7 linked regions of the Neurospora crassa OR74A genome follow. Each later gene encodes a partner of the first gene's protein in a complex. Links are inferred from orthologs where the notes say so. Each region holds a gene or a part of one and is shown on either strand. Other genes may lie near its edges. The genes, in order: NCU01474, NCU07549, NCU00952, NCU07852, NCU17114, NCU04068 and NCU08299.

Region 1 (3,781 bases):
TTGAAAGATGAAGAAAAAAATGAAGAAATCTCCAGTCCGAGAAAGGATTGTGGGTTGCCAAAAATTCCCCAGCCAGCCGAAGCCAACTGAGAGCGGTCAGGTATGTAGTTTTCAACTAGCAAAAACGCGATCTCGGACGAATCCTCACTGATACGCGTAAAACCCCTGCACTTGGATGGAGGAAAAAAAAAAGGAGAAGGAAAGTTGAAGATTGGGGGAAGGGTTGGCTTGGTTAAATAGGCGCGGGGAGGTCCCGAGCCTTGGTCCGTGCACCAGTGCAAATTCCGGGAGGAATTCCATGGCGGGCCGGCAGCGGGCTGAGGCGGGACTGCCAAGCTGTTCAGGCAGTCGGCTGTTGGCTGTTGGCTGCAACTTCCATCTCGTCCTCTTTCCATCTTCAGTTGTTCACTTCACTGCAGTTCCTGTTGGCAAAGGGGTCATACCGGCAAGGCTGCCCAGGCATTGCCAGCAGTAGTGAGTGGTGAATGAAACACTGCAACTTCACTCCAAGAAATGACATTTTAGTTGCGCATAACTGTGTCACAGTCACAGACTACTATACCGTTCTACTTAACCCCTTGGCTTTTACACAGTTCTCGCTTATTATCACAATGCAGAGAGGGAACAAGGCAAGCCAATTGCTTCCGAATAACAAGGGAAACTCGTGTAGGTACACCGTACAAAGGAACATGAATATTACACTCATCGTGCTGGACAAACCGTCTTCTTCAGTCCGCCCTCCTTGCGCGATTCATATGGTACAAGAGTGTTGCCGGTGGTTGCACACACACATTCACTTCTGCTGCTGCTGCTTCTTCTCCATCTTCTTCCCTGTCTAGTATCTCGGCGCCCTGACGAGCACCTCACCCAGATTGGGACCCTTTTGGCGGAGCCCTTGGACTGCTACACGGGTGACGAGGTCGCTTTGGTGGTCCTCGATCATCTCCTTGAGCGCGCTGCGCTCAATCACTATCCTGCCCGTCTCCAAAAGATCCTTGACATCGACATCCCACAACTCCAAAGCGCGACCCTCGGCACCGGCCAACTCGAATCCAGTGAAGAGGTTGGGGCGCTTGTCGCCCGTGATAAAGGTCGTCCGGCCAGCCTCCTTGCCCCAGTTCAAGCTGGTCATGAACTCGTGAACCCACTTGCGGACGTAGCCGTCCTCAAGCTCACGGCTGAGCTTACCGCCGCCGGCAAGCCAGAGGAAATCGTTGGGAAGGGGGAGGTCGAGGCCGTCCTCGGTGACGATGAGCTCGCCGCGCTTGTAGCGGTAGGACAGCGCGGTGCGCCAGGCCAAATCGTAGACCTTCTTGTTAAGCTTCGTGCTGAAGTCGCGGGGCTTGGGGCCGAAGGTCTTTCCACCACCTTTCATCAGAGGTGACTGGCGGGTACCACGACGGGCGTTACCGGTACCCTTCTGGGGACTCATCTTCTTGTGCGAACCATGAACTTCGTAGCGTGTCTTTGTAGACGCCATGCCCCGTCGTGTCGAGTCACCTTCGTAGATGACGGCCAAGTGGAGGATATCGCGACGCAGCGGGAGGTGAAGGTGACGGGCTGAGTAGGATTCGAGGGAGCGCGGCTCGAGTTCGGGGAAGGAATAGACGGTCACAGGAACGTTGGTGACTGAATCGTGGGTTAGTACCTTTCCAGCGCGGGCGATGTTGTCGAGGTTGGCAGTCGTGTTGGTGCTCATACTGGGTTGCCATGGTTCCGAGACCGATCTTGTGATATTGGCGGCAGGAGGGGTGGCTACGGAGGCCATCGACCGTCTGCAGGGAAGAATAGAGGATTGGCGCATCTAGTGGACATGGTTTGTACTGGTGAGCGAAAGTCGTAGGCGGGTCAGTAGCAAGACGGTGGACATATGGAGGACAAACCGGCAGTGCCCTGCATGACTTGGAAGCAATGCTCAGCGCATTCATGGCCTCGTTGAGGCTCTTGAGACCCTTGCCGGCCATGGCGGCGTTGTGATATGGCAAGGTGACGGGAGTTACAAGTTAATGCAACTCGGATGTAGTGGAGGTCAGGTATGATATGGTGGTGCTCGAGGCAGTTGTTCGCGGGAGGAAAAGAGAGACTAGCAACCACGGGCCTGTGCGGACGGAAACGTGGAGCGCGCTTCGGGGCGAGGGAGGGACAACGGAACGGGACCGAGACGGGGGCTCTGACGGGATATGCGGTGGTCGTCGCGGGCGCCGGTCCTCCCAGTCAAGTCGCAACGATTCGGCCGACGAGGGGACTGGACGGAGTCTGGAGAAAAAAGATCTGGAGTGCGGGCAACGTGCACGTACAGTGCGCTGCAGCCATCGAGTACCCGTTTCTGGCGAGCTTTCTCGCGGGGCACGCCCGCTACTCTGCAACCCCCACTATAAGTACTTCCAATGAGCGCACTGTGCTGCCGGCCCCGGGGTCCACGAAATTTTGGCCGCAGTTCGAGTCCGGGCAGGTGGGCTGCAGCATGGAACGAATTGAAGGACCAACGAACCCTCCGTCCCGTCCCTGTCCCGTCCTTGACCCCGTCCTCCCCGTCGACGAAACCTTGAGTGCAGCTCCTCTCGATTGAGAGCGATCCCGCACTTCCAATACTCTCCCCTCCGGCCCGCCTGCACACATTCCCACCCGCCATGTCGACGTGTCAGCAGGTCGCGCGGCCACTCGTCCGCTGTCTCCGGCAAACCGGCCCCGGCGCTGCGACATGTTCGACCCGGTCCGTCGCCGTTGCCGCCGTTAGGCCCTTCTCCTCGACCCCGATGCGCAAAGAGGAGGGCGCCACCACCACCACCACCACCTCTCCTGTCGACTCCACCACAACACCACCACCCCTTCCTTCGGCAACCGAGGCTAAGGCGACAGTAGCAGACACAGTAGTCGGAGGTCCAGAGCTTGGGTCGCGAAGGAGAAGGGCCGCCCTGGCCACCACCGGCAACCTCCCCTTCGAGCAGCTGCCGTACCAGTGTTTCCAGGATGCGCGCAAGATCCTGCAGCAGGACCGCGCGGCCAAAATCGCCCAGATTGTCAAGGAGACGGAGAAGATCAAGCTGATCGAGGCGCGGGATGCCAGCGAGTTCGAGGGCGGCGAGGCCGCCAAGCAGACACGGATCAAGAGCTTGAGGAAGTATATTGAGGAGCTCAAGATTCTGGCCGACATCAACGACCCCGAAGTGAAGAGGCGTTTCGAGGATGGCAGAGGTTTGTATTTTCCTTTCCTTTTCTTATGACGTTTACTCCGCTTCGCAAGTCTCAGTCTAACGAACACGTTTCTCTGCCTCCAGGTGACATGACCAAGCCCGTCTACCGTTTCATGGCCGAGCGCCGCTGGCGTTCCATGGACTACAAAATCATTGCGCAGCGTATCTCGCAGTTCCACGTCGTTCCCGACCTTCTGCCCGCCTTCGACCCGACCATGGACGTCAAGCTTTCCTTCCGTGGCTACCAGGTTTCCCCGGGAGCCATCCTCGACTCGCGCGTGACCGAGGTTGCACCCACACTTCGCATGCAAGTCTTCGACAAGGGCGAGCGCCTCCTCACTGTCGTCGTCATCGACTCGGACGTTCCCGACGTCACGCACGACAACTTCAAGCGTCGCTGCCACTTCCTGGCGGCCAACATCCCATGGGACCCGTCGAAGACGGTTCTCTCCCTGCGCAGCGTCGGCGACCGCGTCGAGGGCGACGTCGGCAAGCCCTGGCTTCCCCCCTTCGCGCAAAAGGGTTCGCCCTACCACCGCCTCAACGTCTTCGTGCTTGAGCAAAAGCCCGGTGCCAAGATCGACGGC
Region 2 (3,100 bases), on another chromosome or scaffold:
ACACGCGCCAGGCCGGCGAGACCATCAAGTTCGTCGAGAACCAGCTCGCCGCTCTCGCCAAGGAGATCAACGACTGGAAGAACGTCGTTATCGCGTACGAGCCCATCTGGGCCATTGGCACCGGCCTCGTCGCCACCAAGGAGCAGGCCCAGGAGGTGCACGCCGCCATCCGCAGCTGGCTCAAGCAGAACGTCAGCGACAAGGTTGCTGAGGAGACCCGCATCCTCTACGGTGGCTCTGTCAACGCCAAGAACTGCAAGGACCTTGCCAAGGAGCAGGACATTGACGGTTTCCTTGTTGGCGGTGCCAGCTTGAAGCCCGAGTGTAAGTACTACCTGCCATTGTTGCAACGAGAGGAAGAAAGATGGCTAACATGATATGATGCAGTCGTGGACATCATCAACGCCAACCTGTAAATTACTTGCCCATAAAAAGTTATAGCTTTGCTACAGCCGCAATCATATAGGCTGGGAAATGGTGTTGAGGACACGGCGAAAATATAAAATAGTTAAATGTCCTGATTTTGTTCGATTTGGGATTGAAGAACGTAGTTTCGCTTCATGTAGCCCGTTCATGACTTCTGTGACACCAGATACCGCAACTCCGCGGCTCCTCCATTCGCTCTTAGATGTTCATCCCAAGTTCCAATATCAACAGTCAACCACCAAGCACCAGAAGATAATGTCAGATTCTTTGGAACTGGGGCAACTCATCATGGGAACTCGATAGCTCTGGAAGGACTTGATCACAACCATATAGCCAAACCGAAACCCTTGATACATCCAGAAACCCTTTTCATGTCCTCAATTCATATTCATACATTCAACATGGTATATACAATCCACCTGGTACTGAACCGAGCCAACACCGGCCGAGCACCAAATCCAGCCCAGCACCGATCCAGTCCATTCCAGCACCAGCACCAGCACCTGCTCCTCCCCCTTTTTCCGCTTTATACAGCCATACCCTGCCCATGGTAAGGCGACCAGACACCTCTGACACTGGGGTTCGTGCTGGTGACGGGCTTCTTGAACTTCTGGGGCTTCTCGCCGCTCGCGTCGCGGAGGAGCTCGGCCTTCTTGAGGATCTCGAGCGGCTCCATGTTGCGCACGCAAATGGCCTTGGTGCGCCCGTTGATGTAGTGGCCCATGAGGATCGGGTGCTTGGCGGGCCGGGGAGAGACGACGAACTCGATTTGCGGGTTGGCGGCGGCGAATTTGGGGAGGAGGGATTTGATGAAGCCGCTAGATGGAGGAAGAAGTAAGTGTTAGTGAAAGAGTCTGTCTGCTGAGGTCGCGAAGGGAGACTGGAGGGATAAGGAGGGACGAGGAGGGACGAGGAGGGACGAGGAGGGACGAGGAGGGACGAGAAAAAGGGTATGTAGTGGTGGATGGATGGATGGATGGATGGTCGGGGACGGCGGGATGGTCTCGAGATCTTGGGAGGATGTCGGTTTGGTTGGACGTGTAGAGGTATTGGTATATGTGAAAGATGTTCGATCGGGAATGAGGTTGCGATGTCCATATTCGAAGAATCCTAAACGTACTTCATGCCCCGGGAGCTGCCGGCCCAGTCACTGTAGTGGATGTCCAACTTCTTGCACTGCAAGACGAATGCGCCGACGCCATTCTAGATACAAAACAATCAACGATTAGCATTCTTTTTTTTCTGAAAATTAAAGTTTTTAGTTGCTCAGGCTGCGGTCTAACTTACACGGCCGGCAGAGGAGATCTGCGTCAATGCTTTTACCGTCATTGTTGTGATGCTCTTCTTCTTCTTCTTCTTCGCCGCCGTCCTCGCCTTGCAACAAGTCCGAGTCCACCAGGGTTCATGATCCGGAGGGCGGGTGCGACTTGAACTTCTGCCAGACTCCCGCCCCGTCGCGCGCCGGCACGGCACTGGGGGTGGGGGACCCGCCCAACTGCAAAAGCGGTTGGCAGAATCAATTTCACGCGATTGCACTCCTCCTTGGGTGTGTGCGTAGTGATAACGAAGACGACCTAAGGGTGCACGGTCCCTCTTTCGCACTCAGTCGTTCGGTGGTCGAGCGCGCGAGAAAGCTGCCCAGCAAGAGCTCCAGTCGCTGCGAGGCTGCCAGGCAGTGGACGACACAACACCAGACAGGGCCCTTTGCTGCTCCCGCCTCCCACCCTCTGTCTCTCGTCTTCAGCTGTCCAAGCAAAGTCGCGAAAATGCGGGTTTGACCTTTCTCGCAAACCGACAACACCACATTATCGCCATCACAAGAATTGGCAAACAGTAACAGCGTTCAGCCTTATTGAACTGTTCTCGCCCGGCTTTCCGAACAGTGGATCAAACGCCAGACGACCTACATTTCCTGGTTTCCGACATATCGATTTCATAATTCGACGACAGATAAGATCAACAAAAAAACACCACTTGACCAGCTACAACAGCGACAACGTGAAGCGACAATGACAGACCGGCTCCCGCCTAACCTCCTCGCACTCTTTGCGCCCCGGCCACCTCTGCGCTGGGTGCCGCCCTGCGATGTTGCTCCCGAAGAGCGCAAGTCGGCCTTCATCACCCCCGTTGCCGACTTCCTTCCTGCCATGCAGGCCTACGAGCAAGAATACGAGTACCATCCCACCGAGAGCTGGCTGGAGGCGCGCGACCGCAAGAAGCGCGAGAAGAAGGAAGCTTTGGAGAAGCTGTTGACCGAGGGTCCCAAGAATTGTACGCGGCAAACCCCCAACGTTACGCGCAGTTGTGCTCGCTACTCCTTTACTTGATCATGATCTTGCTGTCGTGCGGCTTGCTAACCGATGGCGTTTATCTGTAGACAACCCTAATGACGATCCCAACATCAGAGGAGATGCTTTCAAGACGTTGATAGTAGCGCGTCTTGACTACCGTGCTGATGAACAGGATCTCGAGCGCGAGTTTAGCCGCTACGGTCCTATCGAGCGTGTGAGTTTGCAAACCCCCCCTCCTCCTATATCATGATTTCACAGCTATGTGTGTGTTAATTGACAAGAACTGACACCAAAAAACAGATCCGTATCATCAGAGATACCCACGCCGATGAGAACCCAAACAAGAAGAAAAAGCCCCATCGTGGCTATGCTTTTGTCGTTTT
Region 3 (3,236 bases), on another chromosome or scaffold:
TCATCACCGGCAAGACTGCCCCTGGCGGTGTCTCCACCACCAACGTCACTGTCCAGCACTCCAGCAGCCGTGTTGCCCCTGACCAGCTTCCTCCCCTCCCTCCCAACGAGAATCTCCCCCCTGCCCCTATCGATAGCTCCATCGACAAGTGGTTCTTCATCAGCGGTGCTTCCGCTTAGAGAGTTCGTTTGTTGAGGTAGAATAAAGATAATTTATTGGCACTTTGTTGTATTGGTCAATTCGTCGTGAACAATCCTCCATGGTGTTACCCTCATGCGTTGTTTTGCGTAGAGTCGAACGTCTTTGCAACAAGGTATGCGCGGTCAGAGATTGGCCATTTCTGAGGCTGTAGTCCATGCCGTGGGATAGGGACTTGTCGAGGAGATGCTCGACATTCTTGCGCCATGAGTTTCGCCGTTGAAATATACCGATACCGTTGATGAATTCCCCATCGAAGGAAACACGGTCGCCAAAACAAAAACAAAAAAAAAAAAAAAGGCCGATCTCAACTTTGACTTTGTCAAAATGGGCGTACCGTGATGTGTGTGAATCAATCCATGGCAGAGGTGCTATATACGCATGTCTATAACAACAGGTACCCAAACTGCCTTGCCAACTGAAAATCGCCGGCCCCTTAACGCCTCCCAATGCTGTTGGTGTACACTTACAACCTCTTGCCCAATACAAATACAGGTTCATATCTTTTGTTGTTGTTTTCTTCTTTTTGGCTGGTAAGGCGATCTTACAGATCTCTCAGAGAGGTCGTCAGGTATCCGGCTCCAAGCTCGCTGGCTTTACCCAGGTGATTCGAATGTGCCTTTAGATATCCAGACTTTTCCTCTTCTCCTCCCGGTCAATCGTCATTTTGGTACCACGGACCAAAGCCAAGTAGTCTGGGTATCAAGACAAGATGGGCTTTCGTCGCTCTTCCCGTGGCTTTTCCCTCCTTTTTCCTAGTCTCAGTCTCCCTCGTTTTACCCGCAAAGTTCGATTGGTGGATCAAAACACAACAAGGGCGTCTCGAGATTGCTGGGTTTTGAAGAAGAAAAGAAAGACAGAGATTCGGTTAACCGTCGTTCAAGTCGGCCTGCTTCTGAAGGATACGAGAGTGGCGATCCACCTCCTCGACAATGCTTTTGATGCCCATGTTCTCAACGTCGAGGTTCATTTCCTTGCCGTCCTCTGTTTTTTTTCAAATACGTTAGACTACGGCTTGATTCACAGCTAACGACTCTTGATTGCCTTCCAGCCGGAATGATCCAAATTGCAACAACCAACTGCAACGGCGGTCCGTCGATGTGTGACAGAGTTGCAAGTGACAAGAAGAGAGACATTGGGAAAACGTACTGAACTTGACGTAGAGCAAAGGAGTCTCGGTGGAATTCCGCGGCAGAAGCTGGGTGGTGATGTTCATGCCATTGGAGCGGGCGTTGGGAGGGAGGAAGGAGAGGAAGAGCCGGGCGGCCTTGGCCTTGGCCGAGAAAGGGTTGAAGCGCGTTGATACGTCGGTGATGAAGCGGGTGAGCATGTTGGGCGAGGTCTCTCGGGTGGTGGTGGTGGTGACCTGAGGTCGTGTTGGGGTTGGGTTCGGGGAGGAAGAAGAAGAAGAAGAAGAAGCAGGAGGAACGCGGAGGCCTGACTGCGACTTTGCGAATTTGCGACGACGGGACTGCACTGCACACCGGACGGGGACGGATACGGAGACGCGGGAGACGGGAGACGGGTCTCTGTGGAGGATCGGACGGGGTACGTAGCTTGTGTGTCGCGATTTGGACTTCGATTCGGTCTTCGTGCCTGGCGCCGGCCGGCAGCGTGGAGGAGGGATGCGATCAAAAATTACTGGAGGTACGTACCGATTGCGCCGGGGACCGGGAGGGGTGTTTTTTGTAAAACGGAGAATGCGGGACGGCGCGTGCTACGTGTGAGAGATGGGCTGTGATTGGTTGGGAGCCAACTGGGATCAAACGGTGTCAGGCTCGATTTTGCATTCATATTTACACTACATCAGATCAATTGACATAATACATCTTTTTAATCTTCTGAACGGGAAGAGAATCACTTCTGGCCTTCTATTACATTGTGTTAGTCTGTAGCCCTGAGTGTGTAAGTTTGTGCTTTGTTCCTTCAGCGCAACAGTACGTACTCCCATTTGCCCCAGCGAGTTGTAACTTGAACTCCGTTACCGAATTCCGCATGTGATCCGTTTTCATTGACCTTGAGGATGACGTTGCAAGAGCCACGCCCACCGAGAACTTCCATTGAACATCGCTACAGTGCTCTCCTTTCAGGCCAGGTTTCCACTAATTATCAACAACAGCACAGCTGCTGATCAACACCAGGTACCTAAGTGGGATCCGACTACGATCCATGGAAACCATTTGTTACACATCCACCTTTTTCCAACACATATCTATCTACCTTTACCGAGTCAACTCCCTACGAATGCAATACCGACATAATACAACAAGTCACTAATGTCAACATTCGAAACGCTTCAAGAGCGGCTCACGGCCCTCCAAGAGACGACCGGCCAGCTTAAGGACCTCATCGAGCGTCTCGCCACGCTCAAATTCGAGCCCGGTTCCGTTCCTTTGAGCAACAGCATCAGCAGTCTCGCGAACACTGGCGCCGATGGAACCACCAACAGTGAGGCCGCTGACTTGAGCGCCGAAATCAGCCAGGTCTTGCGCGAGGAGGAGGAGGATTTGGAGTTGCTGCAGGAGGAGATTATCGACTTGCGCTCCGGCCGCCCAGGGAGTGAGGCGGAACATCAAAAGACGAGGTTAAAGGAGGGCGCGCAACGCTTGGCTGCCGAGCTTAAGGGGTGAGTTTTGTTTCTCATCTTTTCAGCCTGGATGGTGATGACGATGATGAAGATGAAGATAAACAACGTACCTAACAAAATTGCGTCTCAAAAAAATACAGCTGTCGAACCTCCTTCCGCAAAGCCCAACTCGCGGCGCGCCGCAACCTTGAAACCGCCCAGCGCCTCGAGCGCCAGCTCCTCTTAGCCTCCTACGTTGCCGTCGCCGCCAACCTCGCCGCATCAGACCGCGGATCAGGCGCCTCAACACCCGTATCTACTGCTGCTGCCCCCAGCGGTGGTGCTCAACCAACCTCGTCGACGACGTCTCCACCCCCTCTCTCAACCCCCGCCGCCGCCGCTTCGTCAGATGCTCCTCCTCTCGACCCCCGCCAAGCCCTCTTCGGCAACCGCCGTCGCAAACAGCACCAAA
Region 4 (3,441 bases), on another chromosome or scaffold:
ACAAGATGTGCGAGCAGATCTTGGATGCGGTACCCGAGACGGAGAAGACCAACTATTCGCTACCCAACAAGCACTACTTTGAAGTTGGTGAGTACCCCTTTCGCAAATCCACCAAAAAAAAAAAAAATAGGTCCAGATAAATTTACACTAACACCCAAAAAAAAAAAACAGATCTCAGTTGGCACAAGGGCCTCCAGAACACCGGCAAGGACGCCGAGGTGTACGCTCCCCAGTCTGGTCCCAACGGTCTCATCAAATGCGAGGTCTCTCGCTCGTAAGACTGTTGAACTTTGTTTTTAAAACGTCACACATGTTTCTTTGGCTTTCTTTTATGATATCACCATTTTTTTTTCTTCTTTTTTTTTGCATTCCCCCTCACGTTCCGAGGGGTTGGTTGGCGGGCAGGCGTACGTTTTGAAGGTGGAAAGATGATGATACCTTGATGCAACGGATCATCATGAGACGGAGGCTATGGACATCTTGACTGGCGCTAATTTTCAGGGGTAATCAAATAAACTTCCTATTATGAACAAGCAAGCATCCGAAAAGCACTGCTAGCTGCACTCTCGAATTACCAAGTGAAAAAATATGCCGTGAAATCGGTGAGGCTGACTTTTTGCCTTCGCGGGCCTTCAGCGTGTTGGACATGAGGATCTGCTCATCGCTTATCAGATCAAACAATCAATGAGTCTAAACAGCTCTCATGAGTCGTAATCATGGTATCTTGTTGAGTGATATATTTGTACAATGAGAGGCCCCCTTTTTCTAACCCAAGTTCGTACACTGTCCGTTGCGCGCTGGGCTCATGAACCGGCTTCCCATGTAATATACAGACTGACACTGGCGGCATTGCCCGTGAATCACACGGCCAAGTGGGCTGTAACAGACACAAGAACACACGAGAGAGATTTCTCGCCCCAACGAGGTGGTTGTCCACACAATCTTCCTCACAGTTGACAGAGTTCTCAGTCTTCGTCGGCTAGATGGTTCGTAACGGCTCGATGTAGATTCGTCCCTACATCTCTTTCTCTCCCGTTTCTCTGACACTCTTCCATGAGTAGATAGCCAGCTCCAGCGCCTTCAACCAGACCTTCACACCTCAAAGCCATGGTCGCTCATAACCTCTCCATGTCCGCCTCCCGGATAGCCTTGACAGCCTCCTCCCAACCTGGAGCGCCCACCACCTTACCGCCAAATCGCACCAAGTTCTCCTTGTACGGGTGCGCATCACCCTCAAACGCCTTGAGCCTCGCCAGTCTCTTGTCGCGCAGCCTGTTCTTGGGAAGCATGCCGCTGACGGCCTTGCGCAGCACCTCGGCGCCGCCGTGCTTCTCCATCAGCGCATCCATGGTGATGGCCTGTAGCGAACCGGGCCGGGTGTTGTGGCGGTAGTACGTCTTGCGCCACTTCTTGTGGCCCGTCGTGTACAAACCCGCGCAGTTGGTCACCACGACGTAGTCGCCGCAGTCGGTGGAGGGATCCCAGATCGGCTTGTGCTTGCCCATCAGGATGGTGGCAATGCGCGAGGCGAGGCGACCGAGAGAAGGGGGAGTGATGGCCTCGGAAGGAGCCTTGATGGTCGAGAGGGTGGGGTGAGGGGTGACGGCGGAGATGTGGTGCCAGACACGGGAGTAGGCTAGTCGGGTCTACACGTTCGTCGCAAGACGGCGGTGGTTAGTGACGGGTGGTGGAGGTGGTGGTGGTGGTGGCGGGAGGGCGAGCAAGTGCCAAAATTGTAAGAAACACGACGAAATTATGGGACAGTTGTGTCCGAACAGGAAGAAACTTACAGCTCCGACTGTTTGCGACATGTTGACGGTGTTGCGCGGTGGTGATGTAGGTCGTATACTATGGTGTTCAAGAGAGGATTAAGGTGGAGAAGGCAGGTATGAAAACCAGTGGGAACGAGTCCCTCATCGACTGGTGGTAAGTGAACCTCTATGTGTTATCGTCCGGGTCAATTGAATGACACGGGATCGGGCGGGCTCCGGAGTGTTCGAGACGGCGGGTTCGGCAGGCGCGAGAAAGTCCGGGGCTTGTCGCGGCGAACGGGTATCAAATGTGGTCCGGTATCACGGGAAGCAGAATGGAGCTCCTGCAGAAGGGCAGCAGCAGAGCCTGCCAAGCCCAAAAGCTGCAATCACTTTTCTTGCCGGAAAATTTCCACGTACGATTGGGGCACGACGGCCCGCTGGCGGTTGGCGGGGTGGCTACGGTGGTCCGCAAGTCTTAGTGTGTAATTGAGGAAAGCACTAACAAACACCAACTCGGCGCACTTAGAGCTCTCTTTTACTGATGTCCCATGTACCAAAGCCTGCACTTCCTTTCCCGGTACATATCACACGCTTTCGGGGAGCAGGATTGCCCTGGCTTGGGCCGATCGAGGAGCCGGACACAGCGGAGCCCCAGTTGGTCGCCCGCAAAAAGTGGTCCCAGAAAGGTGCCGTCGCTTTGAAATCAACATTTTGGCAGGCCGACATCTACCTTCCTGCCGTCTTACAGTGAAGATGGGAAAACGACATTTCGCACTCCAGTGAGGTGACTTCATGCACTCTCTTGTCGAGAAACAATGAGGAATCTCAGCACAAGAGTCGCATTTACCCCGTCTCTTAAGCATCCGTAGACTGGAGCCAAAACGTTATTAATTGTACCTAGTCGTCCCCTCCTTCGCCGAACGTGGGGCTCTCCTCCATCGCCTTCTATACAAATCCATCGTCTCACGTTGGTGTTGCTTCTCACACCACCACTTCTATACTGTCCTCAGTATTGTCTTTGCTACCTCTTAGTGCCTGAAACCGATGCCACCGTACACGGCCAGACAAATCCTAAGTATTTCTAGTCTAGCTTTAGCAGGTTTTGGAGGCGCATACCTTTGGCAACAACGCCAACAACATAGGAACTATTTTCAGTCACAGTCATCCCCGGCTGCTCCCAAATCATCAATCCCGAAGATAGCCGGCAACATGGCTTCCATCACAACCCCCTTCAAGGTTTGTTTATACCCTTTTACAGCCTCATTTTCATATATGCCTACATATGAGCTTCGGTCCAAGCCCTTCCTTTTCTTTAGATAAAGGGTCCAAGCCTGTCTCACATATCTGACTCACCTTGACATACTTCCAGAGGCACATCATACTAACTCATTTCACAGACTCTCTTCGCCGTGCCCATGCACTGCGAAAGCTGCGTGAACGACGTCTCCGGTGCACTCTACAAGCTCCCCGGAATCAACAAAGTGGAGGCCAACCTGAAGGACCAGCTGCTCACGATAGAAGGCACGGCCGCGCCTTCCGCCATCGTCAACGCCATCCAGTCCACGGGCCGTGACGCCATCCTGCGCGGTTCCGGCGACTCTCAAGGCGCGGCCGTCAGCATCCTCGAGACTTACCACAAGCCCACCCTAGACAAGATCACGCCCGCCCCGGGAGCCTCGGACCGCAT
Region 5 (3,375 bases), on another chromosome or scaffold:
TTGATCCTGCGGAAAACACCAACTCGGTCAGTCAAACGAACGGCGAGTCCCAATCACGGTCTCAGTCCCAGCCACTTTCGCGATACGGGGGCGCCAATGATGAGACCCAAGACTCCATGACCCTCTCGCAGAATGCAAACAAAGAAGACGGAGATGACTTGCCTCTGCCTCCGCCTGGGAATAAGTTATGATCCATATGTCGATGCATGGCGTATTTGTGTGGATTGGAGACTGTGTTTCGAATGAATTGAGATTCAATATGTATACGACGAGAAGAGTGTGAAAGAACGCCTGTAAAATGTTGGGAGACGGGTCTTGTGACTAATGAAAAGTTTGATTTCCACGAAAATATAGAAAGATGAGATAAAGCGATGTACGATGGCAAGAAAAGTCAAAGATGTCGAGGTGTCATGACAGACTGTCTGATCGCGATAGAAGAGTTATCCTTACCACACAACACAAGAGAAGGGAGAGCCACTTGGCAGTGAACCTGGGTCACGCCCAGCATTGCCGACGGCCGAGGGGCGTTGTGCTTATCTCTTGACTTGTACATTCTCTAATCAACCTGGCCCATCGGTAGAGCGAAGAAGCAACAAACGCTCCATGGTGCCAATCCATAACTCACAGGGTGATGTTATATACTGATGGATCGGTGGTACAGTAATAATACACGACCAGAGACTGGATGGAACGAGGGACCCCATCTTATTCTTGCGCCTCTCTTCTCCATATATCCAGTCCAGTTCCGGTCCGGTCCACCCCCCTCTCCAGCTCCAGCTCCAACTCACTCGCCAGCACTGGCCATTGTCTGCTGGTGATCTGCTTGAAACACAACCCGGTCGAAATCGTAACTTGGTGTGACGTGGTAATCCGTGGAGGGGGTGCTGTAGCTTTTTACTTGTCGCTGCTTCGCCGCTACGCTCTTTGATTCCGTATCGCAGGCTCCGCGTTCTCGCTCTGGCTCTCGGTCGTTCGACGGTCGTTAGGCCCGGGGGCGAGTAACGATCTATGACCTGCCCTTGCGTTTCTGTTCGAGGAAGAGGACCTTGCGGCGAACTATGGTGGAGAGGCGAAAGGGTTAGTAGGTATTCCTTCCTCTTCGAGATCCGTGATTGGGAAAAATTGTCTGTCGTAGGCAAGTGTTTCTTCCGTCCCCTCCTCTCTTCTCTGTTGGCCGGTTGGTTGGCTGGTTGCTTTTTTTTTTTTCTTTTCTCGAAGGTCCGTACGTTATGCCATCGTCCGAGTCTTTGAACTGTTGCGTCCCAGCCTGATCCCAGTCCTAGTCCCAGTCCCAAGCGAGCTTCCCAAGGTCCGTTCGACGAAGCGTATTGGGGTGTTTCGAATCGTGCAAATCGAGAAAGCCCGCAACCAAAAAGAGTTCCATATCATGCCCGTGTCGTCGTGTCCGCCGAATCAATCATGTAGGTGGTTGGAAGCGAAAGAGGTAGATAGGAATGAGGGGAGAGGATATGCGCATACCGATCGGATCGTATTTCAGCATGCTCATAGGCAGCGAGGTACGGGGACGGGTGAAGGTGTAGAAATAACCCGTCATGGCCATTGAGATCAGGCGCACGTTAATGATGCGGGACTTGGCTGTTTGTTGTTTACCTATCAGCAACTATCGTCTTCTGTTTTCGGTTTCCGGTTTCCCCATTGCATCGCTTTTCCCTTTAGGAAAACAAAGCAGTAATTGCAGACACACGGGTGAGGATGGAGTCGATTACCCTTCTTCGCCATGTTGAACGACTTTTGTTGCGCTGTTGTGGTGTGCAACGGCGCGCCTGGACTGGACTGGATCAAGTGCGGTACGGCGACGGGCGACGGGCTGGGGCTCGTCCGGACGGAGAGGTTCGCAAACTGCGGGCGGAGGGCGGGCGGATTCACGGAGCACGGTCTTTGCGCCGGAAGCTCTCCAATCGACGTCGGGTCGTCCGCGCTTCTTGCGATTGCGATTGTAGATTTTGCCTGCCGGCCCGCCGGGGGTGCGTGGGCCGTGGTGGGGCTGTGGGTGGGTCGTGTGCGCTCCTAGCTGGGCTTGGCAGGTGGCTGCCCGCGGTTTAGTGTACTTGTAGGATCGGTGAAGGCAAGGTGAGGAACAAGCTGAGTGTAGTGAGCTGAGAGCTCACCGAGGAACCCCAGAGGCCTTGGCCAAAACACAACGGGCGTGATATCTATCAGAACATCTCACACAAATTTATTGACAACATCAACACCTTTGCTGGGCTTGTACACTGAGAGAGATGTATTCAAGAACATAAATTTGATATTTGTGTACCGTAATTTCAACATGGTGACCGTTGACAGCACTGTGGCTGTAATCATGCCCGTCCCGCCAACAAGGCGCTGGAAGGGAACTGTGTAAGTCGACGAAAAGGATAGTTCCTGGATACTAGATATAGTCCACTGGTCCTACACATGCCGCAGCTACCTCTAGAGGTAGAATACAACGGCCCGGATTTAACGTTGGCTTGTCAGGCAGCACAGCACAGCAGCAGCTTATCTTGGCGGCTACGAAACAGCTCAGCGATACCGCCTCGTCTGGCGGATAGCAGTCCGAATCAGAATATGGCATTTGTTTGATTGACTCTCCATACTGTACCAAGACTGTAGTCTCGATTCGGACCTCTGCGACCCCGCCAGAAATGGATCGCGGGAGCAAAACCGGACCGGAACGAAGACTCTTTTGTAACAAAAAGTTCTAGACCACACCGCTTTCCGTGCTCCTGTTTCGGAGCTCATTAGTTCAGTTTGGGTTGCTACATTTGATGAAAAAAAGAAAAAAAAAAAAAAGTTCGTGTGTTCTTCTGCGTGCTATCTTTCCCCCCCCCCCCCCCCCCCCCCATTCATAGTGTCTTTGCGTCTGCTGTGTCGAATGCGGTTTGAAAACCCAACCCAACTGACATAAACTGGACTCAGCCCTAAATCACATCCCGTCCTCTCGGTACTCTCGGAGCGAGTCAGCGCACCATCAACGACAAGTTCTTCTCCCGTTCACCTTTGACGGCATCTCCGGGAGTCCTGTCCCCCCCCACCCGGCAGTATCGAGACCCTCCTCCCCTCATCCATCAATACGTACACTTCATCAGAAAGAGATCGACAATCGCATCGATGGCTGCCGGACTGTCAAACGCCCTCAAGACCGCCCGTCACCGGCTGCCGAGCGCGGCCGTGAGAAATTATTCAATCCCTGTTCAGCAGTCGGCGTGGGGTCCGGCGACATGCGGAGGTAAGGATCACCAAACCCTTGCCATTCGCCAAAGCGGCGCGAGTTTCTCGTCCGACCGACGCGGATCGATGTGCTTTATTGCGTCGCTTTCACCTTCCCGAACGTACCGTTGCTTCCTCTTGTCCCGAACTTCCCCAACTTTCTTT
Region 6 (3,992 bases), on another chromosome or scaffold:
GCCAGAATCCCAAGTTCAACCACTCAACAACTTGGACTGAATACGTATTCCGGTTACGGATTGAAAATTCCCCGAGGTTTATCGATCCTCTCGCGGCTGTATGACTGTGGATAAGATCAAACAGCAGAAAAAGGCATCGTCCCATACTTTCTACTCCAAAATTCTCTTCGTTTTCTCCCTCATCGTCCTCATCCTGGCTATCTTCAGTTCCCGCATCTCCTTTCCCCGGCTTTCCCTCATTGCGAGCCATTTGACTGGCAGTGCCAACACAATCACAGCAACCAGCCGCTCAACCATTACAACTACATCTACACAGAAGATGGCCTCTTCCCAGTACGCAAAGGAGCTCGAGGTAGCTCAGCTCGCCGTCCAGCGGGCCGCCCGCCTCACCAAGCGCGTCTTCCACGAGAAGGCCAAGGGCACCGTTTCCAAGGACGACAAGTCCCCTGTGACCATTGGCGACTTTGGCGCTCAGGCGCTCATCATCAGCGCCCTCAAGGCCAACTTTCCTTCGGACGAGATTGTGGCTGAGGAGGAGGCCGCTCAGCTGCGCGAGGACACCCCCCTGCGGGACCAGATCTGGGAGCTCGTCAAGTCCACCAAGCTTGACGATGAGGCTGCCGAGCAACTCCTTGGCGGCGCCATCAAGGATGCCGACGCGATGCTGGAGATCATCGACCAGGGCAACAGCAAGGGCGGCGCCAAGGGCAGGATATGGACTATCGACCCCATCGACGGCACCAAGGGCTTCCTGCGCGGTGGACAGTATGCCGTGTGCTTGGGACTGATGGTGGACGGTGACGTCAAGGTCGGTGTTCTCGGTTGCCCGAACCTGCCTGTGGACGACGCTGCGCCGTTGGCTGCGGATATCGGCACCAATGCGACCGATGAGGGCCGGGGTGTCATCTTCTCGGCCGTTCAGGGCCAAGGCGCGACTAGCAGACCCCTGGGCACCGCCGGTCTTGCGGAGGGCAAGTCCATTGCGATGAAGCCTATTACAGAGATGTCCAACGCCAGCTTCTGCGAGAGCGTGGAGGCGGGTCACTCGGATCAGGGCGTGGCTGGACAGATTGCGCAGAAGCTCGGGATCACCAAGCCTAGTGTGCGCATGGATTCCCAGGCCAAGTACGGCTCTATTGCTCGCGGCGCGGGTGATATCTACCTCCGTCTGCCTACTTCCAAGTCTTACCAGGAGAAGATCTGGGATCACGCTGCTGGAGATCTGATTGTGCGTGAGGCTGGTGGTCAGGTTACCGACGTGAGTGGAAACCGCCTGGATTTCAGCGTCGGCCGCACGTTGGCTGAAAACAAGGGTGTCATTGCGGCGCCTGCTGCGGTCCACGACCAGGTCATCAAGGTCGTTCAGGAAGTTCTCGGGCAGCAGTAAAGCCTCGGTGTCATAGTGTACAGGTTATGGCAGGTATCGGGCCGTTATGAGGCCATGTGTGTGCCAAAAAAAATAATAGACTAAATGTACAATATTCCCCCCTTATCCTCATCAACAACCATATCAGCCACCAAAACCCACCGCGCGTCCTCTATTTGATCTTCTTCTGCTTCAACTTGATGGTCTCGCCGTTGACAAAGATACCCTTACCCTTGTAGGGTTCCGGTACACGCCACCTCCTGATATCAGCGGCGAAGGTCATGACCTGCTCTCTGTTGATGCCCTCAAGCAGGATTCTTGTCGGCTGCGGCGTGCTGGCCTTCATGCCCTTGGGAACGCCCATCTCGACGGGGTGGGAGAAACCGAGCTTGAGGCAGACGAACTGCTGGCCGGGGTATTCCTCCTTCTCGGGGCGGGTGTCGATTGTAGCTCTGTAACCGATACCGACCAAACGCAACACGGCCGTGTGACCTTCTGATACACCCATAATGAAGCGGTTGAGGTACGCCCATGTTGTTCCTGTTTTGTCCAAGAAAGATTCGAAATCGTCAGCTGACTGGCCGCCCGTAACTTTCCACATTCTCCAAGACAAGGAAGGTGTTTGCCATACCCCACATCTCTCTCTGCTCCTTCTCGTCCCGGTTCGCTACGCTGAGGGTCGCTCTCCTTGCCTCGGCGTCGTGGTCGATCTTGATGAAGTCGGGAATGTCCATCTCGAGTTGTCCTGTGAAAAAGCACACGCACACGTGCAACAAGTCAGCCAGCTGCTCTGCTCCCATCCTAGTCCCCTTTGCACTCTCGCGCAAACACCCATAAACAACGTTCTCTCTCGGGCCTCTCCCAGCCCATCTGTTGCGCCCGCTCCAGTTTCGTTGCGTATCCTCAAATAAAACACCCATCTGGTCCTTTTGCCAAGTCGATTTTACAATAGAACAAACTAACCCAACGGGCCCTGCACCGTAATCTTGCGCTTAGGCTGCTGCTTCCACTGCGTCATGTCGCGCTTGACGAAGGGCTCGCCAATGGTGATCTCGACGCCAGGAGGGATACTGAGCGGGGTGCGGCCGAGCTTGGACGGGCGGGTTGTCGTCGCGGAAAAGTTGCGCCGGGCGGCGGCACCGGCAGTCTGTTGGAAGGCGGGCACCAGGAAGCCGGGGAGTGTGACGACGGGAGAAGATGAGGAAGAGGCAACGGCCTCAAGGACCCTCCTTCGGCTTGGGGCGAACATCGTGGTGAGTGTCGTCGTCGTCGGCAGGGTGGTGGCCGTCGTCACGATGCGGAACCGGAATTGGCGAAGAGACGCGGCGCTCCAGTTCGGAGGTTCTGGCAGTCGCAAGGGCAGCACCGAGTCAATGGCAAGCCGGCCGGGTGGTGGGATGAACCGAGTGGATCTTCGGAGAGCTCCAAAAAATGTATCGGACCTGACGCGGCACAGCAATGCAGCTAGTGATTGGCTGTAAATACAACAGGGTTAGGGTCGTATCCGCATAGTCTCGCTGCTGCTATTCGCTTGGGCTAAGAAACAACGACGAACACCAACAGATGTTATTCCATCCGACATCATTCATCTCGAGTAAGAAATCTTCAAAAAGAAAATGGCACAGGGCGTGGAAGTGTAGAGTTTACTCGATGGAACATATTGTTTCACAATATTCAGATTGAATGTTGAATTAATCTCCCGTTCGACAATCGTCCAGCTTTCCGATGACGACTTTACGGATGCCAACCTCACGATAGTCATCACCACCCAGAACACCCGTCACGGTCGAAGTCTTCCAAACTGTCTCAAGCGAGCTGTTTGCACTTTCTCGATACCGGATGAAAAGATGCAGATTCCAGTGATGTCAAGACAAGTGGTCTACAGCCCAAATCTTTGTCTAGGCTCGCTTCTGTTGGAGAGGACAGCGTCACATCAGACGATTAAGAACCAGCAAAAGTCGAGCTCGGCAGACAATCACAGTCATATTCGATGCGAACTTCAAGTGAAGTCATTTCACACGAAACCTTTTCGCGGTTTCACAATCCTGTGATTCTTGTCCCGCTAAATTCAAGTCCGCTTCTCTTATCCTGGGCAGTCGCGATCGCCAACTTACCCTCATACACCTTCCTTCCTTCCCTCTCTTGAATCGCTCCTTCTCTTCAAAAACACCACAGAATTTTCAGTTGCATGGCCACAAACTTCGATCGCCAAAATTGCACTACCAATATTGCCAGAATCTCCATTTCTTACTGCCGAAGTCCCTTCGACGGCACTCTTCTGGACGCATCTGACTTTATCAGTATATCATCATCAGCCTGTCGCATTGCACTTACATGACAACTATGGCCAGGAAGCTTCTCTTCACGGCTCTCTGTGCCGTTACAGCTACACCTTCTCTGGCCTTTTCGTGGGGAGGTGAAAGAAAAGTGGCAGTTCGTAAGTAATATCAGAGCACTGCCTGCAGGGCTTGACTAATAATATGACCGCAACACAGCCGACCATCAAGTCAACATCGACCGCAACATCCAGCCTTCGGATCTGCTTCGAGCGTCCTCACGCCTACCAAATATCTACGCCGTCGCCCTAAGTGAACTTCAAGAACTCGAATCAGAACCGTTTTGCCAT
Region 7 (4,200 bases), on another chromosome or scaffold:
GGAAGGTGGGCTCTTCTCTGTGAGTTCACTAGTATTCGCCAATAGTACGAAACGGTAAGAATAGAGGTAGTTTCCTCTATAATCCATTACAGAACTGATCCACATCAAAGTTAGCTTTATTCACGACGTAGCCAGGCTCTGGAGCACCAACGCAAGACGGCCAGCGGAGGGTAACCGACGTTGAATGTATTCCGAATATTGCATTACTACCACCAACCGGCCGGCCTCAACCAAGCCAAGATGTCCTGTTATTCCATCAAGCCTTTGGAAGCCATGTACTGTATGACCAAACGGCCGGGGTGGCAGGGCCTATGCCCAAATTTACTTTTTCTCCTGTGTCGTCCCGTTCTCCTTTTGCGCCCGCTCATACTCGATAATCTGTCTGCTCCAGCTAGTGGAGGTAATATCGGTTGCGTCAGCTTAAGAACATCCCCGCGGTCTGCGCTCGCGGAAAACGTTACGCATGTATAAAAATTTGGATGGGGGTCTGTCTGCCAGGACATACTATCTGCTGGGATAAAAGCGACCAGGCTCGGGCATCTTGTGACGGTACTCTTTCTCGGCGCTAAGCTTCCAGACTGCGGCAGTGATGAGGAAGACGACGCCACCGAGAACAGCCGTGTTCTTCTTCCAGTTGGCCGGCTGGGCGTACCAACCACCCGAAGGCGACCAGACGTGTTTGGGGTAGCTGGAGTGAAGGGCGAGGCAACGATTAGGACGGATCCATGACACAACGCAGGCTGGGTTGGACAGAATGCGCGGAGGGTTTGCGCATGTCGAGGGCGATGAAACTCACGGAACTTGGGGACCGCCGCCCTATAGACAGGAAAAATAGAGAGTTAGCAGACACAAAACATAGTAGTGATGATGGCTATTCTAAGCAATCGGGTGGATACGCACCATTGTGATGAAGTTTTGGGATATGTGGTGAGGTAGGTTGGACGTTCAACGAGGAATGATTCTTTCCACCTCGCAGTTAAGCAAGATCGGTTTGTACTGTCAACTTTGCGATGCACTGCGAACGACGGCACAATAGTGGTGATGCTTCAGCGGGAACAATTGGATAGAAGGACGAATGATGAATCCGCCTACAGGCTGACGAGGGGCTAAATCGCATCAACCATCCAGGCCTGAAAGTCACCATGTCACTCGTCCTAACTGGGGCCGAGGGCGCATGCGACAGACGGGCGGCGGGCGGCGGGCGGGCAGCTCCCGCTTGTCCACCACAGTGCACCGTATGCTAAACAGACAGCGCAGATAGTGGATTGGGGTCGAAGATGGATCTTGTGGGGACCCTCACTGGGCCAACAACGAATCATGTCAGCCGGCTTTTATGTCTCGGTCTTGGGGGAGTAACCCCTGCGCTTGAGCACTGATTCACGGCTCTGGGTGGTGGGCTTGTCTAGTGTACGGGTGGTGAGCGTTCAGATTGGAGAACTTTTTTTTTCTACCCGTGTTCGACGGCCGGCCGAGTCTGAACGAGAACCCATCCGATCAACGCGCGACTCCGACCGGGATCCCGAGTAGCTTCCCACCCCGCGACCACCGGCTCACCACCTGCCCGTCCGATTTCCCTCACTCCATCCTTTTCTTGGCAGGGCCTCCAGACGGCGCACACTTACGGAACCTGGGCCCCAGCACGTCAACACCCGGTTGTCGAGCCGACCATCACCCATCAAATATATCGCCCATGAAGAGGATAGCAACGCCCAGCTTGACGAGCCGGCTGCTCGTCGCCGCTCGCTCCGGAGTGTCGCCCGCCACTGCCGCCATCCGATCCCGATCTGCAATCTCGGTGCGATCGCAATCGACAGCTGCCCTCGCTCAGCACGATGCATCCCACGATCTCAACAATGATCGGTTCCCCCCGCTTGAGCCCCTCCCCCCCGCGGCCGAGTCCCTACCGTCGCCCCTCCCCGAACGGGCCTTGACCTCGGCCAAACTGGCCGCCCTCCACGCCCGTTTGAATCTTTCTCCCAAGATCCCCTTACAGACATTGGCAAGGACACTGGTCGACGCCTCGGCCGACGAGAACCCGCAGTTCAACAACGCCAACCTCGCCTTCGTTGGCCAGACCCTCATCAACTACCATATTGCCGAATGGCTCCTCTGCAAATACCCCCGTCTACCCCAGGGAATTCTCTTCAGTGCCATGAAGGCTTATGCCGGACCGAAGCCCTTGCTCCAGATTGCGCGGTCATGGGGTGTTGATACCGCCGCGGTGCCCGGCGGCGAGGTGGATCCCGGTCTTCTGCAGTTCGATGCCCTTAAGCCCGGCGTCGCCATCACAAATTTCGGCTACAAGCGTACAGAGCTCGCCTACCTCGAGAAGTTCAAGTGGCGTCGCGGTATGGCCTCGCGTGTCGTTCTCGACGACGACTTTGGTGATGTCGTGCGCAGCGACCCCAAGGTTGCCGCCGATCTGGAGAAGGCGATGGAAGAGCAGGATCAGGACAAGACTCCCGACGAGGAGGAGGCCGAGATGGTCGCTAATGAGCAGGACCAGGACGTGAGCTACGACCGCTACGGCAACCCCGACACCCGGGCCGCTGCTGAGCGGGCCCACGCCTACTTTGTGCGCGCCGTCGTCGGTGCCATCTACGCCCACTGCGGCCGCGAGGCCGCCAAGGCCTTTGTCAAGGCGCACATCATGTCGCGCACCCTCGACATTGCCAAGCTCTTCGAATTCAAGTACCCCACCCGCGAGCTCGCCGCGCTCTGCGCCCGTGAGGATTTCGAGCCCCCCGTGGCTCGTCTCCTCTCCGAGACGGGTCGCCAGTCGCGCACCCCCGTTTTTGTTGTCGGTATATACAGCGGCAGCGACAAGCTCGGCGAGGGCGCCGCCTCCTCTCTCGACCACGCCCGCTTCAAGGCCGCCATGAACGCCCTGAAGGCTTGGTATCTCTACAGCCCTGGCGAGAACCCTCGGGTACCCAGTGATATGCTGGAGGAGGGTGCCAAGCCCTGGACGCCAGCATACATTGATATGGGTGAGGTTATCTCCCGCTAAATGAGGAGGCTGAAACACGGAGCATGGCGGCGGACAGTACGGCAGGGCAGTAGAGAACTTAGGAAGTGTATGAAACGAAAGGTAAAAAGAGAGTCGCAGATGGCCTGCTTACACTCTCGGTTTTATTGGTTGTGCGGCCCATCAACTCGGGATAGGTTCCCCTTGTGGAAATCGACGCAAGAGGATCGAGAGGGAAACAAAACAACGAGTGGATTTTGTTGGTGTGGTCTAAAAGCTCAGCTTACCTTTCCACTCTTGTCCTGTCCTGTTGAGAGCGGGCAATTTCCGTCCTGCGAAGGAAGGGGATATTAAATGGATGGTCCTCTCCCATCCAGTCACTCCCTTTCCTTCCATTGTTTCTTGCTCTTTTTGCCAAAGACGAGATGTTGTATACAGATTTGCGCGCAACGGACATACATGTACACACACGCACACCCCCGCCACATATACCAATACAAAGGGGGGTTGGGACGGAACGGGGAATGAAGAGGGTCTGGATGGTGGCTGCTTGGCTCTGCTTTCGACAAAGAGAGACACAACCCTCGTCGGGGTGGCATCTGTGTCCTTCTTTCTCAGTGTATAATACCAAAAAAGTAGCCGAGGCCAGGGAGAAGGAAGATCATCGTCTGTATGTGTAGCATTAAGAAGTCAAATTTTTTACGAGGCATCAACGAAGTACATGACATGATAAATCCTTCCTCTACGTATTGACTGCTCTGGCATGAGGAGAAGGCTGTGTAAGAGAGAATATGGTACTACGCAATTTACACGCATTGTACAATTCCAGGATGTGTAAGCCCTTGTTTTGTATAACAAGCATCGTAAAGGAAGAAATGGGAATACGCAACCGGCAAGAGTAAAAGACCGGACGACGAGATCGAGCCTGGAAGTTCCTCCCAAGCTTGCGCGCCTTCCATTCATCCAAACTAGAGGTTGTTTAGTATCTATTTTGCCTTGTGCTTTCTTCACATTGCTCTTGTTTATCTTATACGTGAGAGGAAGATGAAGTTGGTGAGAGGGGAGATGAAATGTGGACTGTTCTCTCTGTAGTTGCGTCCTCACTTTCTCACCCCCTCCTGGTACTTTGTCACGACGTTTCCAAAAACACGTTCATCAGAACTTGCGACCTGATGCAAAGGGATCAATGAAGGAGACTTTGACAACTATAGAATTGGCATATTGTTAAGGTA

What was found.
Region 2: NCU01474 (region 1) and NCU07549 share a complex: the UniProt entries of both Saccharomyces cerevisiae proteins name them as parts of the mitochondrial large ribosomal subunit. The link is inferred for Neurospora crassa OR74A from reciprocal best matches to the Saccharomyces cerevisiae genes YML6 and MRPL51.
Region 3: NCU01474 (region 1) and NCU00952 share a complex: the UniProt entries of both Saccharomyces cerevisiae proteins name them as parts of the mitochondrial large ribosomal subunit. The link is inferred for Neurospora crassa OR74A from reciprocal best matches to the Saccharomyces cerevisiae genes YML6 and MRPL44.
Region 4: NCU01474 (region 1) and NCU07852 share a complex: the UniProt entries of both Saccharomyces cerevisiae proteins name them as parts of the mitochondrial large ribosomal subunit. The link is inferred for Neurospora crassa OR74A from reciprocal best matches to the Saccharomyces cerevisiae genes YML6 and MRPL23.
Region 5: NCU01474 (region 1) and NCU17114 share a complex: the UniProt entries of both Saccharomyces cerevisiae proteins name them as parts of the mitochondrial large ribosomal subunit. The link is inferred for Neurospora crassa OR74A from reciprocal best matches to the Saccharomyces cerevisiae genes YML6 and MRPL39.
Region 6: NCU01474 (region 1) and NCU04068 share a complex: the UniProt entries of both Saccharomyces cerevisiae proteins name them as parts of the mitochondrial large ribosomal subunit. The link is inferred for Neurospora crassa OR74A from reciprocal best matches to the Saccharomyces cerevisiae genes YML6 and MRPL6.
Region 7: NCU01474 (region 1) and NCU08299 share a complex: the UniProt entries of both Saccharomyces cerevisiae proteins name them as parts of the mitochondrial large ribosomal subunit. The link is inferred for Neurospora crassa OR74A from reciprocal best matches to the Saccharomyces cerevisiae genes YML6 and MRPL3.

What each region holds. Positions count from the first base shown.
Region 1 is NC_026505.1:4,618,903-4,622,683, forward strand, and holds NCU01474 (60S ribosomal protein L4), read right to left. Parts: upstream 2,357-3,781; 5' UTR 1,965-2,356; coding exon 1,884-1,964; intron 1,805-1,883; coding exon 836-1,804; 3' UTR 501-835; downstream 1-500. Other genes in the region: NCU01473 (mitochondrial large ribosomal subunit YmL35), read left to right, coding at 2,631-3,195, 3,279-3,781. UniProt on the Saccharomyces cerevisiae protein: Component of the mitochondrial ribosome (mitoribosome), a dedicated translation machinery responsible for the synthesis of mitochondrial genome-encoded proteins, including at least some of the essential transmembrane subunits of the mitochondrial respiratory chain.
Region 2 is NC_026503.1:4,406,055-4,409,154, forward strand, and holds NCU07549 (mitochondrial 54S ribosomal protein MRPL51), read right to left. Parts: upstream 1,937-3,100; 5' UTR 1,756-1,936; coding exon 1,714-1,755; intron 1,630-1,713; coding exon 1,547-1,629; intron 1,245-1,546; coding exon 953-1,244; 3' UTR 501-952; downstream 1-500. Other genes in the region: NCU07550 (triosephosphate isomerase), read left to right, coding at 1-324, 388-416; NCU07548 (hypothetical protein), read left to right, coding at 2,436-2,697, 2,804-2,931, 3,018-3,100. UniProt on the Saccharomyces cerevisiae protein: Component of the mitochondrial ribosome (mitoribosome), a dedicated translation machinery responsible for the synthesis of mitochondrial genome-encoded proteins, including at least some of the essential transmembrane subunits of the mitochondrial respiratory chain.
Region 3 is NC_026501.1:6,595,290-6,598,525, reverse strand, and holds NCU00952 (mitochondrial 54S ribosomal protein YmL44), read right to left. Parts: upstream 1,823-3,236; 5' UTR 1,529-1,822; coding exon 1,348-1,528; intron 1,183-1,347; coding exon 1,067-1,182; 3' UTR 501-1,066; downstream 1-500. Other genes in the region: NCU00951 (inorganic pyrophosphatase), read left to right, coding at 1-179; NCU00953 (hypothetical protein), read left to right, coding at 2,475-2,824, 2,926-3,236. UniProt on the Saccharomyces cerevisiae protein: Component of the mitochondrial ribosome (mitoribosome), a dedicated translation machinery responsible for the synthesis of mitochondrial genome-encoded proteins, including at least some of the essential transmembrane subunits of the mitochondrial respiratory chain.
Region 4 is NC_026503.1:1,107,879-1,111,319, reverse strand, and holds NCU07852 (mitochondrial 54S ribosomal protein YmL23), read right to left. Parts: upstream 2,140-3,441; 5' UTR 1,812-2,139; coding exon 1,791-1,811; intron 1,647-1,790; coding exon 1,116-1,646; 3' UTR 501-1,115; downstream 1-500. Other genes in the region: NCU07853 (uricase), read left to right, coding at 1-87, 172-278; NCU07851 (superoxide dismutase 1 copper chaperone), read left to right, coding at 2,799-2,990, 3,152-3,441. UniProt on the Saccharomyces cerevisiae protein: Component of the mitochondrial ribosome (mitoribosome), a dedicated translation machinery responsible for the synthesis of mitochondrial genome-encoded proteins, including at least some of the essential transmembrane subunits of the mitochondrial respiratory chain.
Region 5 is NC_026506.1:2,292,549-2,295,923, reverse strand, and holds NCU17114 (hypothetical protein), read right to left. Parts: upstream 2,030-3,375; 5' UTR 1,741-2,029; coding exon 1,728-1,740; intron 1,597-1,727; coding exon 1,480-1,596; intron 1,057-1,479; coding exon 1,007-1,056; 3' UTR 501-1,006; downstream 1-500. Other genes in the region: NCU03974 (hypothetical protein), read left to right, coding at 1-191; ala (alanine aminotransferase), read left to right, coding at 3,112-3,229. UniProt on the Saccharomyces cerevisiae protein: Component of the mitochondrial ribosome (mitoribosome), a dedicated translation machinery responsible for the synthesis of mitochondrial genome-encoded proteins, including at least some of the essential transmembrane subunits of the mitochondrial respiratory chain.
Region 6 is NC_026506.1:2,634,704-2,638,695, reverse strand, and holds the start of NCU04068 (mitochondrial 54S ribosomal protein YmL16), read right to left. Parts: upstream 2,801-3,992; 5' UTR 2,616-2,800; coding exon 2,330-2,615; intron 2,112-2,329; coding exon 1,998-2,111; intron 1,907-1,997; coding exon 1,539-1,906; 3' UTR 1,388-1,538; coding exon of another isoform or gene 101-1,387; 3' UTR 1-100. Other genes in the region: NCU04069 (3'-phosphoadenosine 5'-phosphatase), read left to right, coding at 101-1,387; NCU04067 (hypothetical protein), read left to right, coding at 3,710-3,803, 3,862-3,992. UniProt on the Saccharomyces cerevisiae protein: Component of the mitochondrial ribosome (mitoribosome), a dedicated translation machinery responsible for the synthesis of mitochondrial genome-encoded proteins, including at least some of the essential transmembrane subunits of the mitochondrial respiratory chain.
Region 7 is NC_026504.1:2,488,204-2,492,403, forward strand, and holds NCU08299 (mitochondrial 54S ribosomal protein YmL3), read left to right. Parts: upstream 1-1,400; 5' UTR 1,401-1,690; coding exon 1,691-3,010; 3' UTR 3,011-3,789; downstream 3,790-4,200. Other genes in the region: NCU08300 (uncharacterized protein), read right to left, coding at 322-391, 506-688, 797-816, 901-903. UniProt on the Saccharomyces cerevisiae protein: Component of the mitochondrial ribosome (mitoribosome), a dedicated translation machinery responsible for the synthesis of mitochondrial genome-encoded proteins, including at least some of the essential transmembrane subunits of the mitochondrial respiratory chain.